Linked DNA regions of Cricetulus griseus. The protein of the gene in region 4 purifies or fractionates together with the protein of the main gene of each other region. This does not show direct contact. Links are inferred from orthologs where the notes say so. Each region holds a gene or a part of one and is shown on either strand. Other genes may lie near its edges. The genes, in order: Sin3a, Dpf2, Actl6a and Smarcc1.

The links.
Region 1: the proteins of Smarcc1 (region 4) and Sin3a purify together in Homo sapiens (affinity purification with western blotting; 3 studies listed by BioGRID, with this or other methods). This does not show direct contact. The link is inferred for Cricetulus griseus from reciprocal best matches to the Homo sapiens genes SMARCC1 and SIN3A.
Region 2: the proteins of Smarcc1 (region 4) and Dpf2 purify together in Homo sapiens (affinity purification with mass spectrometry; 9 studies listed by BioGRID and IntAct, counting the BioPlex papers as one, with this or other methods). This does not show direct contact. The link is inferred for Cricetulus griseus from reciprocal best matches to the Homo sapiens genes SMARCC1 and DPF2.
Region 3: the proteins of Smarcc1 (region 4) and Actl6a fractionate together in Homo sapiens (co-fractionation; 8 studies listed by BioGRID and IntAct, with this or other methods). This does not show direct contact. The link is inferred for Cricetulus griseus from reciprocal best matches to the Homo sapiens genes SMARCC1 and ACTL6A.

What each region holds. Positions count from the first base shown.
Region 1 is NC_048597.1:168,623,994-168,628,118, forward strand, and holds part of Sin3a (paired amphipathic helix protein Sin3a), read left to right. Parts: intron 1-468; coding exon 469-621; intron 622-747; coding exon 748-906; intron 907-2,652; coding exon 2,653-2,742; intron 2,743-4,125. UniProt on the Homo sapiens protein: Acts as a transcriptional repressor. Corepressor for REST. Interacts with MXI1 to repress MYC responsive genes and antagonize MYC oncogenic activities. Also interacts with MXD1-MAX heterodimers to repress transcription by tethering SIN3A to DNA.
Region 2 is NC_048596.1:53,441,637-53,445,281, forward strand, and holds part of Dpf2 (zinc finger protein ubi-d4), read left to right. Parts: intron 1-213; coding exon 214-342; intron 343-479; coding exon 480-592; intron 593-1,775; coding exon 1,776-1,857; intron 1,858-3,645. UniProt on the Homo sapiens protein: Plays an active role in transcriptional regulation by binding modified histones H3 and H4. Is a negative regulator of myeloid differentiation of hematopoietic progenitor cells. Might also have a role in the development and maturation of lymphoid cells.
Region 3 is NW_023276806.1:116,642,182-116,646,306, reverse strand, and holds part of Actl6a (actin-like protein 6A), read left to right. Parts: intron 1-317; coding exon 318-394; intron 395-547; coding exon 548-722; intron 723-3,156; coding exon 3,157-3,257; intron 3,258-3,914; coding exon 3,915-4,012; intron 4,013-4,125.
Region 4 is NC_048597.1:217,653,565-217,657,689, reverse strand, and holds part of Smarcc1 (SWI/SNF complex subunit SMARCC1), read right to left. Parts: intron 3,061-4,125; coding exon 2,802-3,060; intron 830-2,801; coding exon 668-829; intron 1-667. UniProt on the Homo sapiens protein: Involved in transcriptional activation and repression of select genes by chromatin remodeling (alteration of DNA-nucleosome topology).

The DNA.
Region 1 (4,125 bases), about 49 Mb from region 4:
TTTGTGAGGGGAATTTTTGGATCTTGATTGATTTACAAGAGAACATGGATGTTTTTTTTTTTTTTTTGGTTTTTCGACACAGGGTTTCTCTGTGGCTTTGGAGGCTGTCCTGGAACTAGCTCTTATAGACCAGGCTGGTCTTGAACTCACAGAGATCCGCCTGCTCTGCCTCTGCTGGGATTAAAAGCATGCGCCACCAATGCCCGGGGGATGATGTTTTTTAATGTCTTGTGTTTTATCAGTTTAATTAATGGAGCATTCACTTGTTCTTAGTTTTATAAAGACCTATCTATCATTCAGCATCTTCTTTCTCAAAAGACTACAATTAAAACAGTAATTAAATTAATATAATACTTTAAAGTATTTTAGCTCTATCAAACATTTCAGAAAATATTGTGTGTGTGGTGTAGGATTCAGACTAGTAGCTCCCTTAGTGTGTATCGTTTGTCCCCTTCTGTTGCTCTTCAGAAAGAACAGAGGAATGCCAAGGAAGCTGGAGGAAACTATACTCCAGCCTTGACTGAGCAAGAGGTATATGCCCAGGTGGCACGTCTCTTCAAAAACCAGGAGGATCTGTTATCTGAGTTTGGACAGTTCTTGCCGGATGCCAACAGCTCGGTGGTAAGTCTCATTTAGACAAACTACATTATTTAAGATTGTCACTATAAGTTTGAAAGCTGTAGTCACAGGGGACTTTTTAGGTAACACTTTTGATCCAAGTACTAATCTCTCTTGTGTCTTAATCAGCTTTTAAGCAAAACAACTGCTGAGAAGGTTGATTCTGTGAGAAATGACCATGGGGGCACTGTGAAGAAGCCCCAACTGAACAACAAGCCACAAAGGCCCAGCCAGAATGGCTGCCAGATCCGCAGACACTCTGGAGCGGGTACCACGCCTCCAGTGAAGGTGAGAGTAGACAGATAGGTGATAAGATGGTTACAGCCTGTATTTCCAGAGCACGTTAGTATAGGCCACAGAAATTCCCTCCAAAGCTTCTTAGTAGCTTTGCAAATGGCAGGTATGAAGCACACTCACCATGTGGGTCAGTGTGTGTGTGTGTGTGTGTGTGTGTGTGTGTGTGTGTGTGTGTGTGTGTGTGTGTGTTTCCAGCTTCTGTATTTTTTTCCTATATTCTCTCTCCTTTGCTGTGAGCTTCTCACTCTTTTACTTTGTTGTCAAGACTTACTAATTTCTATCATGATTTGATGTGTTAAAATTGCCTTGTATTACAGGATGATTCTTAAACTGATAAATGATAATAAATGAATGATCTCTGAGGAAATTCGACTCTTGTGAGCCTAGTGCAGATGCTTTGTATTTTCTTAGTCTTCAAGGGCTGTACTAGAGGGCAGTCTTTTGCTCCTGTTAGTGACTACTACAGTGAACACTAGTGACCTGTCAATAGAAAGCCCAGTTTGTCTCCTTGATTTAGTGTGTCTGATATAAGAAGGAAGCAGAATGTATTCATTGTTGAATTTCTCTGGGAATTCTAAACCATGTAATATGGAGTAGAGGTGTCTATAGAATTTGGTTAAAGCAAAAAAGACAGTGGAAGGTGGTGGGTGTCAAGTGGCTCCAAGGACTGACACTCTCTGAAAGGTTGTTTTGGTACTTGCAGTGTTTTCTCAGTTTTGGAATCGGGTTGAATATAGTAGTGGTTTTATTGTTTGGTTTTTTAACTTCAAAAAGTATTCTGTGGATTGCAAGAATTAGCTCAATAGCTAAGAACTCTCTCTTGGGTCTGTTTCCTTCTACACCTGATAATCCACAGGTAGAAACAGTATGCTAGTGCTTAGTTTCCACGTCCCATAGAGACAGAAGCTGCTGGCAGAGTTGGTTATTTCTTCACAGGTAGTAAGAGGTGGGTTTTTAAAAGTAAAATTTTCCTAGTGGGGTTATATTATGGCCTTTTCATTTCTGTTTGGCCTTCATTGTACCTGGTACTCAGAAGTAGTCCAGGCTAATTGTCAGCTCATGGCAACCCTCCTGCCTCAGACTAATGAGTGAAGGGATATAGACTGTGCCAGGCTCTCCCTCCCACTTTTAAAACTTTTTTTTTGTTTTTTTTTTTTTTTTTTTTTTCTTTGAGACATAGTTTCTCTATGTAGCCTTGGCTGTCCTGAAACTCACTTTGTAGACCAGGCTGGCTTTGAACTCACAGAGATTTACCTGCCTCTGCCTCCAAGTATTGGGATTTAAAGGCATGTGCCACTGCCATGTGGCTTTCAAGTTAAATTATTAATATGGCTAGGGGTTACAGTGACACCTGTCCTAGCAACACTGTGATGTGATGGGCAGGGCAGCAAAGCAGATCTTTGAGTTTGAGGACATCTAGGGCTACACAGTGACACTCTCAAAAAAAAAAAAAAAAAAAAAACATTAGCAGTATTAGTTTGAGTGGATATGCTGATAAGATGGTTATGCTGTCTACTAGACAATGAACTAATTTTTTTCCCTATGGATTTTTAAGTTGAAATAGTATAGGTTAAAGATTTATTTTTTAAACCCCAGAGTTAAAGGTTATGATAGAAATTTGTGACTGCAATCTCATTTGTTCTGATTAGTTAGTAGTAGTAGAACCATTTTAGCAAAATTAAAGAAAATTCACTCAGCATTGTATGTTTTTGTTTTATTTCTTATTTTTATTTCCAGAAAAAACCCAAACTGCTTAGTCTAAAGGAATCTTCAATGGCAGATGCCAGCAAGCATGGTGTTGGAACTGAGTCATTATTTTTTGATAAGGTAAGCAATGAGTAACATTTGATATTAGTTGTTAAGAGTAGTTATCTAGCCCGGGGCGTTGGTGGCACATGCCTTTAATCCCAGCACTTGGGAGGCAGAGGCAGGCGGATCTCTGTGAGTTTGAGGCCAGAGCGAGTGCCAGGATAGGCTCCAAAGCTACACAGAGAAACCCTGTCTCGAAAAACCAATAAAAGTCATCTAATCCCCAAGGTTTTGTTTAGGAAGTGGCAACTGATTAGGAGTTTTTAGCATTGTTTTTATTTAATCTTCGGGTTTGTTTTGTTTGAAGACAGAATCTTTCTATGTGTAACTTAGGTTAGCCTTGAACTCACCTTGTATTCCAGGCTGGCTTTCAGTTCCTCATCATTTGGAGGTGGATCTCTGTGAGTTCGAGGCCAGCCTGGTCTACAAAGCGAGTTCCAGGACAGACTCCGAAGCTACATAGTGAAATCCTATTTGGAAAAAAAAACAAAAAAACCCAAAAAATTAGTTTTCAGTGCTGTAAGTGTGTGTGTGGGAGGTTGTGTGAGAGAGAATGTTAGAACGTGCACATCAAAACAGATATCTGTCCTAATATTTTACCTTACCTGAGGCAGGGTCTTTTGTTGAGCACCACTGACAGTTTAAGGTATCTGGCCCTGGAGCTTGTAGAGGGAATTTGCTATCTCTGCCTCCCAACTCAATCCCAGTAGGTGTGCTGGAATTACAAATGTTACACTACGTCTGACTTGTCCCAACGTTTTCCTTAGACTTGCATGACAAGTGTTTTATTCATTGAGCTATCTCTCAATGTCCCGTGTTGTCAAACCCCCCCCCCCCCGTGTGTGTTTGTGTGTGTGTGTGTGCGAGCACGAGAGAGAGAGAGAGAGAGAGAAGAGAGAGAGAGAGAGAGAGAGAGAGAGAGAGAGAGAGAGAACACTTGAGCATATATATGTGTGGAGGTCAGAGGTTAGTGTTGGGTATTATCTTCAGTTGCTTCTCTGCCTTGTTTTTTTGAGAGAAGGACTCATTGAACCTAGAGCTCACAAATTGGTACACTGACTTGTCTGTAAGCTTCAGGGGTCTTCCTGTCTCTGCTTCTCGAGAGCTGGGATTACAGTTTTATATTCCTGTGCCTAGTATTTTATGTCGGTGCTGGGAGTCCAAACTCTGGTCCTCTGCTTGAGAAAGAATCCCTTTGCCATTTGAGCCATATCCTCAGGCTGTTTTTGTTGTCATTTTTAAGATTTAATTATTAGATGTGTATATGTGTGCCTTTATGAACACCCATATGCCATGAGTATATAGGTGTGGTTATGAATTACCTCATGTTTGTTGCCACCTAGTCCTGGGTCCTCTACAAGAATGGGATGCACTTTTAACCACTAAGCCATCTTTCTGCCC
Region 2 (3,645 bases), on a different chromosome or scaffold from region 4:
TAATGTACCAAACTATGTTGAGTCCAAATGAGAGCCCTTACCTGTTGGGGGTGGGGAGTGGGCTGGGAGGGGAGGCGAGGGGAGCAGGAGGAGGGAGGGGAGGAAGAACTTTGGTTGGAATGTAAAATGAAATTTAAAAAAATACTTAAAATAAAAGTCCTCCTTGTAGGGAATGTGGGGCATCATCAAAATTCCTTTCTTTTTTTCCTGTAGCCAAGAAAGGACCTGATGGATTAGCCCTGCCCAACAACTACTGTGACTTCTGCCTGGGAGACTCAAAAATCAACAAGAAGACAGGGCAGCCTGAGGAGCTAGTGTCCTGTTCTGACTGTGGCCGCTCAGGTACTTCCATTCTCAAAGAGCAGGCTGCACTCAGTGCCCAGGACACTCTTGGCCTGGTTACTTCAGTGCTGTCAGGCAGCCTCCCATCCCCATTCCCCACGGGTTTCCAGCCCCCGTTTGACTCGCCTCCCCCACAGGGCACCCGTCCTGCCTGCAGTTCACCCCCGTGATGATGGCGGCTGTGAAGACCTACCGCTGGCAGTGCATCGAGTGCAAGTGCTGCAACCTCTGCGGCACTTCGGAGAATGACGTGCGTGCGCCCTCTCAGCCTGCCTGGCTCTCCCCTCAGCTCCCCCAAAGCAAGCTTTCTGTCAGCACAAGCAAGGGCCTCCCTCCTTCCACGCCCCTCCTTAGCCTCCCCTGGGGAACTTTACACTTGTTTAAAAAAATCTGTTTCTTGAGCACCAGCAGTCGGTGTTTTTGGCTCTCAGGTCACTAAGTAAGACAGAGAAGACCATGCTTTCATCAAATTTGTGTACTTGGGTAACAGAGTTTTGTATGATATACCTTGATGAGCCAAAGAGTTAACTGGTCTACAAAGCAAGTTCCAAGACAGGCTCCAAAGCTACACAGTGAGACCCTGTCTCAAAAAACAAACAAAAAAAAAGAGTTAACTTGATACTGATAGAGGTTTCTAGTTAGATTTGCTTTTGGAGGAAATGAAGTTGGTGTTGGAGTTTTGATAACACAAAGAGCCAGTCCAAAAAGGTACAAAATGAGTGTATTTCCAAAGAGGTATAGCCAGTGCAGAGACCTTGAGATTGGCAAGCCCGCTGTAACAAGGCCATTGCTACCCACTAGATCTTTCATGTGGGGGAAGGTGAATCGGAGAGGTGGATGTTGTTTGATCTATGGGTCTTGAGTCCTTTTGTGAGCAGTGAGGAATCCTGGAGATTGACCCCAGGACCTGGTGAACACTAGGCATGAGCTTTGCTGCTAAGCTCCACCCCTGTGCTTGGACCTTGGGGATGTTGACAGAGGCCATTTATTTGGGGGTGGTTGTTGTGTGATATGTTCTGTCTCATATTTTCAGAAGGTAACTGGCAGCTTTGTAGAGAAGAGATTGTAGGGAAATAGTAGGCTTTGTGATCAGTTAGAATCTGGATAGGTTGAGATGGGCAGGTCTTACTTCTTTATTTTAATTACTTAACTTCATGTGCATTGTTGTTTTGCCTGCATGTATGTCTGTGTAAGGGTATCAGGTCTCATGGAACTGGAGTTACAGACAGTTGTGAGCTGCCATGTGGGTGCTGGGAATTAAACCCAGGGCCTCTGGAAGAACAGTCAGTGTTCTTCACTGCTGTGCCATCTTTCCAGCCCCTCTACATCTCTTCTTAGCAGCTACTAGTCCCTCATAAAAGTAGCAGCAGTGTCACAACTTGGGTACATAAGCCTTTGGATCCTTGTTCTTTCTTTCTCCTTACCTTCTGCAGGACCAGCTGCTCTTCTGTGATGACTGTGACCGTGGCTACCACATGTACTGTCTCACCCCATCCATGTCGGAGCCTCCTGAAGGTAAGTGGCCCACCCAAAATACTTTATCCCAGAAGGATCCATAACACCCAAGTAAAACATGACTTGTTATAGGTCTTAATTGTGTGGTTTCAGCATTTTTTGATTTCTTAAGACAGGGTTTCTCTGTATAACAGCCCTGACTGCCCTGAAACTCACTTTGTAGACCAGGTTGACCTTGAACTCACAGAGATCCGCCTGTATCTGCCTCCCAAGTGCTGGGATCAAAGGCATGCATCACCACTGCCTGGCCCAGAATTTTTTTTTCTTTAAAGACTTTATTATGTATACAACATTCTGCTTCCATGTACATCTGCACACCAGAAGAAGGCACCAGATCTTATAATGGATGGTTGTGAGCCACCATGTGGTTGCTGGGAATTGAACTCAGGACCTCTGGAAGAGCAGTCAGTGCTCTTAACCGCTGAGCCATCTCTCCAGCCCCCAGAATTTTAATTTAAAGAACTTAATGTTTGCAAGCTGTCTTCCTTTGTATAGTCCAGAAATTCAGTTGGAGCTTATCTAACATGATATTTCTTTTGTCGCTCTCCTACTCTGATGGATTGTTTCTTTCCTCTCTTCCCCATTCGGGAGGGAGTTGACCCTGGAGCTTGGGGTATTTTTTTGCATCTCTTGTGGTTCACTTAGTAATGCTCCAAGTTCATGGAAGTGCTACACCAACACCAATGGTGACATCAAGGAGTGGTTCTTTTCCACAAGTCCCTTCCAACTGTGTTTCTGTGCCTAGCTCCTTCCTCTAAGGTAGTAGTTCTCAGCCTGTGGGTCTCAATCCCCATAGGGATCACATATTGGATATCCTGCATATCGGATATTTATGTTACAGTTCGCCAAGCGATGATGGCACACGCCTTTAATTCCAGTACTCGGGAGGCAGAGGCAGGTGGATCTCTGTGAGTTTGAGACCAGCCTGGTCTACAAGAGCTAGTTCCAGGACAGCCTCCAAATCACAGAGAAACCTGTCTCGGAAAAAAAGAAAAGACAACAGATATTTATGTTACAATTCATAATAGTAGCAAAATTAACAGTTATGAAGTAGCAATGGAATTTTATGTTTGGGGGATCACTACAACATGAGGAGCTGTATTAAAGGGTCTCAGCATTAGGAAGGTTGTGAACCACTGCAAGAGACTCAAAGCTTGTCCAGGAGGGCCTAAGTACCTAGTAGCTCTGCTGTGCACAGACAGGAGCCAGCCTTCAAGTGGGAGTAGTTTACTGTTTCCAGAAGCTGACTGGTAATGTAGGTCAGACTGCAGAAAATGAGGCCACTAGCAAAACTGGTGAGTACTTTAACAATTGCAGGACCACACAGTGCTACTGAATGCCACATCCATCTCCAAATCAGCTTGAAGAAAGTAGTCCTTGTGTTTTGTTTAATGACCAAATAGCACCTTATAGACAGAACTTGCATTGATGGCCCAAGGGCTTTCCCATTGATATTTTGTGAGACACTGGGTAGTGGAGAGTTGCAGGCCAAGTATTTCCTCACTGGAACATCAGGAGGTCGTCTTCTTTAGGTCATGGTTGGCATGGCATGCCTTATGGGCCATATCTAGCTGTGTCAGTTTACATAGCTTGCAAATCAACAGTGACTTTTACATTTAAATCATGGTTTTTTTTGTTTTGTTTTGTCTTGGTTTTTTGTCTTGTTTGTTTGTTTTGATTTGGTTTTGTTTGGTTTGGTTTCGTTTGGTTTTGCAAGACAGAGTTTCTCTGTATTTTATAGTCTGTCCTGGAACTGATGTGTAGACAGGTTGGCCTCAAACTCACAGG
Region 3 (4,125 bases), on a different chromosome or scaffold from region 4:
ACAATTAGCATCACATAGAGACCCTGTTTCAAAACAACAATAACAAAAACTAGCTTAATGATATATGAACATAATGAATTTTTGCAAAGTTTTAAATATTCTCATTTTATACACATAAAATATGTTAGTTGCTAGTCGTAATTCTCTCTCTCTCTCTTTTGGTTTGTTTGTTTGCTTTGTTGAGACAGAGTTTCTCTGTGTAGCCCCAACTGCCTGGAACTAGTTCTGTGTATCAGTCTGGCCTGGAACTCAGAGATTTGTCTGCCTCTACCCTGCCTCCCTCAATGGGATGTGTAATTGTTTTTTAATCTTTTCAGATGAAGTTGGCGCCCTTGTTTTTGACATTGGATCATATACAGTGAGGGCTGGTTATGCTGGTGAGGACTGCCCCAAGGTAAGAACAGTGATGACAATTATTTTAGATAGACAAGAGTCATTTGTACAAAATTAAATTCAAACAGAAACTCAAAACAAAAATGGCAGTAGATACTAGAAACACTGCCCAGTGAAAGTGGATGTTACTTCATACCATGTTTAACTCTCCCAGGTTGATTTCCCCACGGCTATTGGTATGGTGTTGGAGAGAGATGATGGAAGCACCATGATGGAAATAGATGGTGACAAAGGCAAACAGGGTGGTCCCACTTATTACATAGATACCAATGCCCTCCGAGTACCCAGGGAGAACATGGAAGCCATCTCACCACTCAAGAATGGAATGGGTATGGATTTGATTATAAATAGTGCTCACAGTACTTTTAGATATAAAATGGTAACTGATGGATGTCAGGTGTGTGTTTGTTTTAATTCCACAAAGTAATATTTTGGGTACTGAGAACACAAAGATTAGTAGGAAGTATTCTTTTCCTTAAACTTGGTCTGGAGAGTTTGATATATGCACAGAAAACTGTTTATTGTATACTGGGTAAGAACTATGTAGGTGTGGTAAGGAAACAATGGTATTAGAGAGATGTAGCTTGAATTCTAATTGATCTTAATAATAAAAACCCAGAGCTAGCTATCACAGTAAATGCTGAAAGATCTGAGAAAAAAGGAGCAAGGCACCTCTTACTTCACCAACTGCTCAGCCTGAAAGGGCAGGATCCTGTCTACAAATTCTTGGACTGAAAGTGATCCTGTCTCTAGGAATCCTCAAACTGAATGCAATGAGCTCCTGTCTCCTCCTGCTTTATATTCCTCTCTCCTCCCAGCCATCTCCCTTCCTGTCTCCACCTCCCTAGTGCTGGGATTAAAGGCATGTGACTCCCAGGTACTGGGATTGAATGTGTGAGCCATCACTGCCTGGCTTTGTTTCTCTTTTAGACTGGATCAATCTTGTATAGCCCAAGGTGGCCCGAAACTCACTAATATCCATCTGCCTCTGCTTGTGACACCACTGCCTGACCTCTATGGCCACCTACTGTCTAGCTCCGCACTCTGATCTTCAGGCAAGCTTTATTTGTTAAAGCACAAACAAAATATCACCACAGTGATAGGACAGGAGGAAGTTTCCAGTGGAAATGAGGGTTTAAACCACTGATGGCAGAGATCCTGAAGTGGCTTTTAGGGATCCAGGTGACAGGTGGCACTAAGAGCTTGAAGAGGCAGAAAGTAGAGAATGAGAAGGTTTCTTAGAACTTCAGTTGAGGGGACAAATAAATAAATTCACTGAGGTAAGAATTAAAGGGGGAGGAAGATGGGTTATAGTCTTGGGATAAAACTTGGAGGTAAGATACTCTTAGGACTGACTCATGGGGCCATACTGAAAAGACACATGAGGAAGTCATCTAGGAAAAAGGGAAAGGGGATGAAATCCAGAGGAGACCAAGCCTTCTCACTGTAGATATGTGGGATGTGTTTCCTAACTCAACTGCACAGTGTATTGTCCACCAAGGGATTAGCAGAGACTCTGTGTGTAAGGCTTTAATTGAGGCTGGTCACATAGGACCACCTCCTCCTGTCATGTGCCATAGCTCTAGAACCCAGGAGGGAAGTGGTAGTCAACCTAAGCCACTTTGTGCAAACAGGTGCTCTTACCATGCAAGGAAAGTTTGATGTCAGTGCCAGAAACTGTTGAGTATTTGAGTGCCAGACAGCAGTAGAGGGTCAGGTTTGTGTGTTCCCACACAGCAAGTAAATGGCCTGACTTCAGGGTGTATGAGACATTGGTAATGAAGTCATGGGGAAACATTGAAGATGTGGAATTGCACTATATGACCCAAAAAGGACTGGAACTTGTAAGAGGTTAAGAATGGGCTTTCTGTTAAAAACATGTTCAGTATTTAGCTAGTAGAGAGGAGTGCTCTGGAAGGAGAATGAACAGTCTTGTGTTAGGGGTAGGGGGAGAGTCAAGTGGTGGTCAGTTTTCTCAGAGGTGGGTTGAGATTACACTAAGGGCAACATAGGTCCCAGCTACTGGTGAAGTCCACAGATTTAAAAAAAAAAAAGATCAAATGGGTTTGTGGGAGAAAACATTTGTAAACCATTGTAAACAGTGCCAAGTAATGTCAAACAGTCACATGCAGTTGAAATTACTATTTGTCCAATGGAACTGTCACCAGTTAACTAGTACCTCATGAACAGAAGAAGGGGTTGCCAGAAGACATCTGTGTTTTTGTTTCTTTTGTTTCTTGAGACAAAGCTTATCTCTGTAGTCCTGGCTGACCATGAACTCAGAGACCTGCCTGCCTCTGCCTCCCCAGTACTATGTACAGGGATTAAAGGTGTGCACTGTCATGTCTGGTACTCTCTGAATTCTTAAAATGTCTTTAAATCTTATTTTTCTGATAGCAAGTTTTGTTGTTGTTTATTTGTTTTCCTAGCTCCAAGTGTAGCTGTGTCTAGCCCGTGAGCTCCTTTCCTTTGTCCTCTTTCTCTTCTGATCACTCACCTGGCCTCTAGCTAGAATTGTTGTGTCTCTTAAGCACTCTGCTTATATTTAGGGCAGATCTGAGGCCCACCTGGAAGAACCAAGAAGAGATTTTATAAGTAGAAAATGATGATGGCCTCTTTTGTAAAGTGCTGTGTTACAAAGTAGATTCTGTATATTCAGACATTAACTTGAAAGTCACAGACACAGTCTCCACCTTAGAAGATGCTCATTCATTTATCGTTGGCTAAGCTTTGTTTCAGGCTATGACTCTTATGTTCTTGTAGTTGAAGACTGGGATAGTTTCCAGGCCATTTTGGATCATACCTATAAGATGCATGTCAAATCTGAAGCCAGCCTGCATCCTGTTCTCATGTCAGAAGCACCGGTGAGACCCGCTGTCTTTCTTCTTCTTTTACTTCCCAGTCACCTGAAGACTTTCTTTTAAAAACTGATTCATTTATTAATTTTTCATGTGTGTATTTAGATATACATAGATGCTTATGTGCCAGGCACACATGTAGAAGTCAGACAACAACTTGAAGGCATAGTTCTTTCTACCATGTGGATCCCAGAGATCTCACTAGAGTTATCAGGCTTGGTGGTGAAAGCCTGCTGAACCTTCTTGCTGGCCCTCTTAAAAGTCATCGAAATTCACATTTTGAGTTTAGAAATTTGTGGAAAGCTTAATTTTTATTATGGTTAAAACATTTCAGCAAATGAAATAATTGGCTTTGTGAGTACCAGTTACAAGAGGGTAATTGGGTGTTTTAAATTCATATTTAGAATTCAGTTACCAGATGTAATGTGTAATAATACTTTGGTTTTTAGAATCTTGATTTTCCTGTGATTTGAAAAGTATTTGGAGAACTCAAAGCAGCTGACAGTTATACCTGATTAATAATAGCTTAATTTATGATTTATTTTAAAAAAGGGCATTCTTAACATTGTTTTTTTGCCAATATGGCTCTGTAATATAGCATGAACTAGCCAGTGCTTTAATTACTACACATTGAATAACTGGGGTCCTTCCTCCCTTCTGCAGTGGAACACCAGGGCAAAGAGAGAGAAACTGACAGAGTTGATGTTCGAACACTACAGCATCCCTGCATTCTTCCTTTGCAAAACTGCAGTTTTGACGGCGTATCCTTAAACAATGTGACCGCTTTTCTCTGTGATTGTAAGATATTAGTGAGGATGTGTTTTCCTTTTTTTCTAGCTTTTTACCTATCTTTGAGTATTTTTAAGTTTTTTTC
Region 4 (4,125 bases):
ACCAGGTCAGTGTAGGATACATAATGAGAACCTGTCTCAAAGAAACAGAACAAACAAATCCCACAGAAGTAGGAGAAATCCTTTTTTGAAAAAAAAAAAAAGTTACAGAATTAAGTAAGGAAGACAAATGTGAATATAGTACAAATTATTGAATTACAAACTGAGTGAATAAAATGGGGCGTCTTATATCATAGCTATCCTACATAAGTTTTAAAATAGACAAGGCTAAAGCAACTTCAGTACATATAATAAAAAAGATCTATCATCAACCATAAATATCTCAAAATAGCCAGGCATGGTAGCCTTTAACCTCGGACTCAGAAGGGATAGGGTAGGTGGATCTCTATGAATTCGAAAGCAGCCTGAATTCAAGGGAGTTCCAGAACACCCAGAACTGATACACAGAAAACATTGCCACGAAAAACAAAACAAAAATCCCAAAACTGTGCTAACTCTCACACTACTGTTCAGCTCCTGGGCCCTGTTTTAGTTTTCCTCCTCCGTGCCATGAGCATGTGAGAGCAAAGCAAAGATTCATACACCCAGCTTAAGAGGAAGTTTACCCTCATCATTTTGTGGGCTTTCGTGTAAACAAACACTACTATTTTGCACAATGACAGGGAATATAAACATCTGATACCAAGTCCTGGGTACAGCAACGACTCACCAAGCTTCTCTGGCTCGTCAGGACCTGTGCCTGCAATACAGCTGCTCTCCAAGCCATAGGTCGGATCCACCTTTCCAGAGGCTCTCGCAGCTTCCTGTACTTTTTTGACGTGCGCTTCAACTAATTCCAGTGGTACTTCTTCTCGGACCCGAGAAAACTCCTCTGATTCAAAATGAAAAGACACACCATTTGCATTTTGCATAGACATGTGCTTCTCATATATGACTTAGAGTATCTGACATAATAGCATTGGTTTCGTTGTAATGAGCTCTTTGGGGCAGAGGGTAAAATGAATCAATCTACGATTTTTTAGTTTTTTCAAGACAGGTTTTCTCTGGCTTTGTAGGCTGTCGTGGAACTCGCTCTGTAGACCAGGCTGATCTCAACTCACAGAGACCCTCCTACCTCTGCCTCCCAAGTGTTGGGATTAAGAAGGCGTGTGCCGGGATGGAGAGGTGCCTCAGTGGCTGTTAAGAGCATTGGCTGTTCGTCTAGAGGTGCTGAGTAAAATTCCCCAGCACCCACATGGTGGCTCACAACCATCTATAATGGGATCTGATCCCCTCCTCTATCATGCAGAGGTACAGGAAGACAGAATACTCAAATAAACAAATGAATGAATGAATGAATGAATGAATAAATAAACAAATAAATAAATAAATAAATAAATAAAATGTGTGTTCTAACAATGCCTGTCTACATTCCAGGTTTTTATCCTAAACATCATTGTGACGTCTTAAATATACTTTTAAAAGATTTTTAAGGATCTACTAGTAACAATTAAAATTGCAGTCCTATTTTTCTCTCTCTGTTGGCTAGACTGGTAGTTGTAAAAACACCAAGGATCAAACAATTATAATTGCAGGGGTAACGCACCATATTAAATATGAAAGGTCTTAAAAAAAAGAAAAGAGAAGGGATTTTGATGTGAAGGGATGCTCTCTTGGCCTGGACATATGGGGAAGGGCCTAGGCCTAGCCCAGGATGATGTGGTTGACTTTGGGGAGCCCCTTTTGAGGGCCTTACCCTGCCTGGGGAGTGGAGGGGGGATGGCTAGGGACAGGTGAGATGTTAGGGGGAGGGGAGGGAGAAAGAATTGACATGTGAAGCAAGCTCATTCCTAATTTCAACTAATAAAATTAAAAAACAAAACAAAAACAAAAAGTAATTTTAAAAAATGATAATTGTAGTAAATTAATTGAACTTCCATTCCTTGGCTCTATCAATTTCCTAATATCACAAAACACTTCTTTACACACACACACACCAGAAAAAAAAACCTGTGTGTGTACATGTATGTAAGAGATAAGATCTACTGTAGTCCAAGCTGAACCTCAAAGTCATGTTTCTTTTGCTTCTGCCTCCCAAAAGCTGGTATTTCATAGGTGTCTACAATCATATCTGGCTGCTTACCTAATTCTAAACAAATACGCTATCACCAGCAAGATGGCTCAGCAGGGAAAGGCACTTGGGGCTAAGCTGATAGTTTTAAGTTTAATTCACAAGGCACACATTGTAGGAGAGAACCCTCCCAATGCTAGGCCTCTAACCTTCTGAAAAACATCATGATAGTTGATTACATAAACACACACACACACACACACACACACACACACACACACACACACACACACAAAATAGATCTTAAAAAAATGAAAGAAAATGTAAATAAATGCTCTTAACTTACAAAAAATTTTGTACATTAAAAGATTATTTATAACCTTTATGAAAACCATTATCTTTGGGGTTTTCTTGGATTTGCATAAATAACAGCTGACATATATTTTTTAAAACGTTTGAGAGTGTGAGTGTGTAGGTTTGTGTTTGAGTGTAAGCTCACACCAATGGGCATGTGTGCAGACCAGAGGTTTACATCAGGACAGATTTCTCTTTCACGTCTCACGCTATCATGTTCTCTAAGATGCTCTCTATGGTCATATAACTCTGTCCCCAGGGAAGGTGCTACAAGCACCATCTGGAACCTCGAAGTCTTACACAGTCTTTGGAGATGCGATCTCAGGTCATTATGCCTACAAAACAGGCAATTTACACAAGCCTTGTGCTCACGGCTAATAATATTCAACTCTGAGGTCAGATCTCAGTGCTGGAGAGGCGGCTCAAACAGAGTACATACCCAATGCCGCTTTTGCTGCAGCAGATGCCACACGAGGATCAACCACAGACGCTAAAAACGCAACGGTACTCATCACTGGGTTTCCAGACTGGCTGAAAGGGACAGGCTGGTAAGCTAGAGGCCCAAGGGAAGCATCCGAATTTTCAAGGTATGGGTCCTCAATGGGAAGCCTCAAAAAGTGGAGGATGCATTCATCCTGTGTACGACTTCCAACATGTTCTGAGACTTTATTCCAATCATCCTTGTACATCTCCAGAGCCTACGTGAACACATAAATGATGAGCGTTAATGTCAAGTAAAAAGGAGGTAATATGGAACAAAAAATGAAGCATGTCTCAATGTGCAGTACAGACTGCTCTCAAACTTCCAATCTCCTTGCTGGAGCTCCAGAGTGCTATAAGAGCCAAATCACCTGCCTCGCTATGATTCTTTAAACAATATTTCTAAAAATTCTGGGTAAAGATTTAGTTGTGATGGCACATGCCATTAAACCTCAGTAATCAATAAATTGAGGCAGAAGATTACTAGACTGAGAAAGAGGCTAACTCAAAATAATAACATAAATGATTACTAGTACATTAAAATAAAATGGCAGTTTGACAGTTTTCTTTGTAGTAAGCTGTGTAACAGGCAACAAAAATAAATAAAATACATGCGCATTTAGAAACCTGTCCTTTAACAGGATCAGTATTGTTTACACAAAACCTTCTAAAGAATAAATGGGGTAGTGGTTGAAGATTAACACTAAGTATCAGCCGAGCAGTGGTGGCGCAGGCCTTTAATCTCAGCACTGGGGAGGCAGAGGCAAGCGGATCTCTGTGAGTTCCAGACCAGCCTGGTCTACAAGAGCTAGTTCCAGGAGCCTCCAAAGCCACATGTCTCAAAAAACAAAAAAACAAAACAAAACAAAAAAACAACAACAAAACATCCCCAAAAAACAAAACAAAACAAACCCCACTAAATATCAAATGACCAGTGAAAAGTGCAACAGAAGACAAAAACAATACTTGTATTTCTCTAATAACAACGAACAATTTAAATTAGAAAAATATTTGGAACAGCATTAAAATAAAAAAAATGCATTCCATTATGTGTAAGAGCAGCATAATAAAAAGACAATCGAAGACAGAGAAATCAACAACCTAAATCCAGTTACCTCATTAGATGCCACTCTATGACAAACTCTTCCCACACTAAAGCATAAAATATCATCAACTACAGGCAAGGGGTAAGCAACACGGCTAGCAGATAAAAAGTCATTTGTTTAGCAGCCCACAGCATGCCAGGAGAGAACCTACTTCAAAGTTGTCCTCATATACTCAGA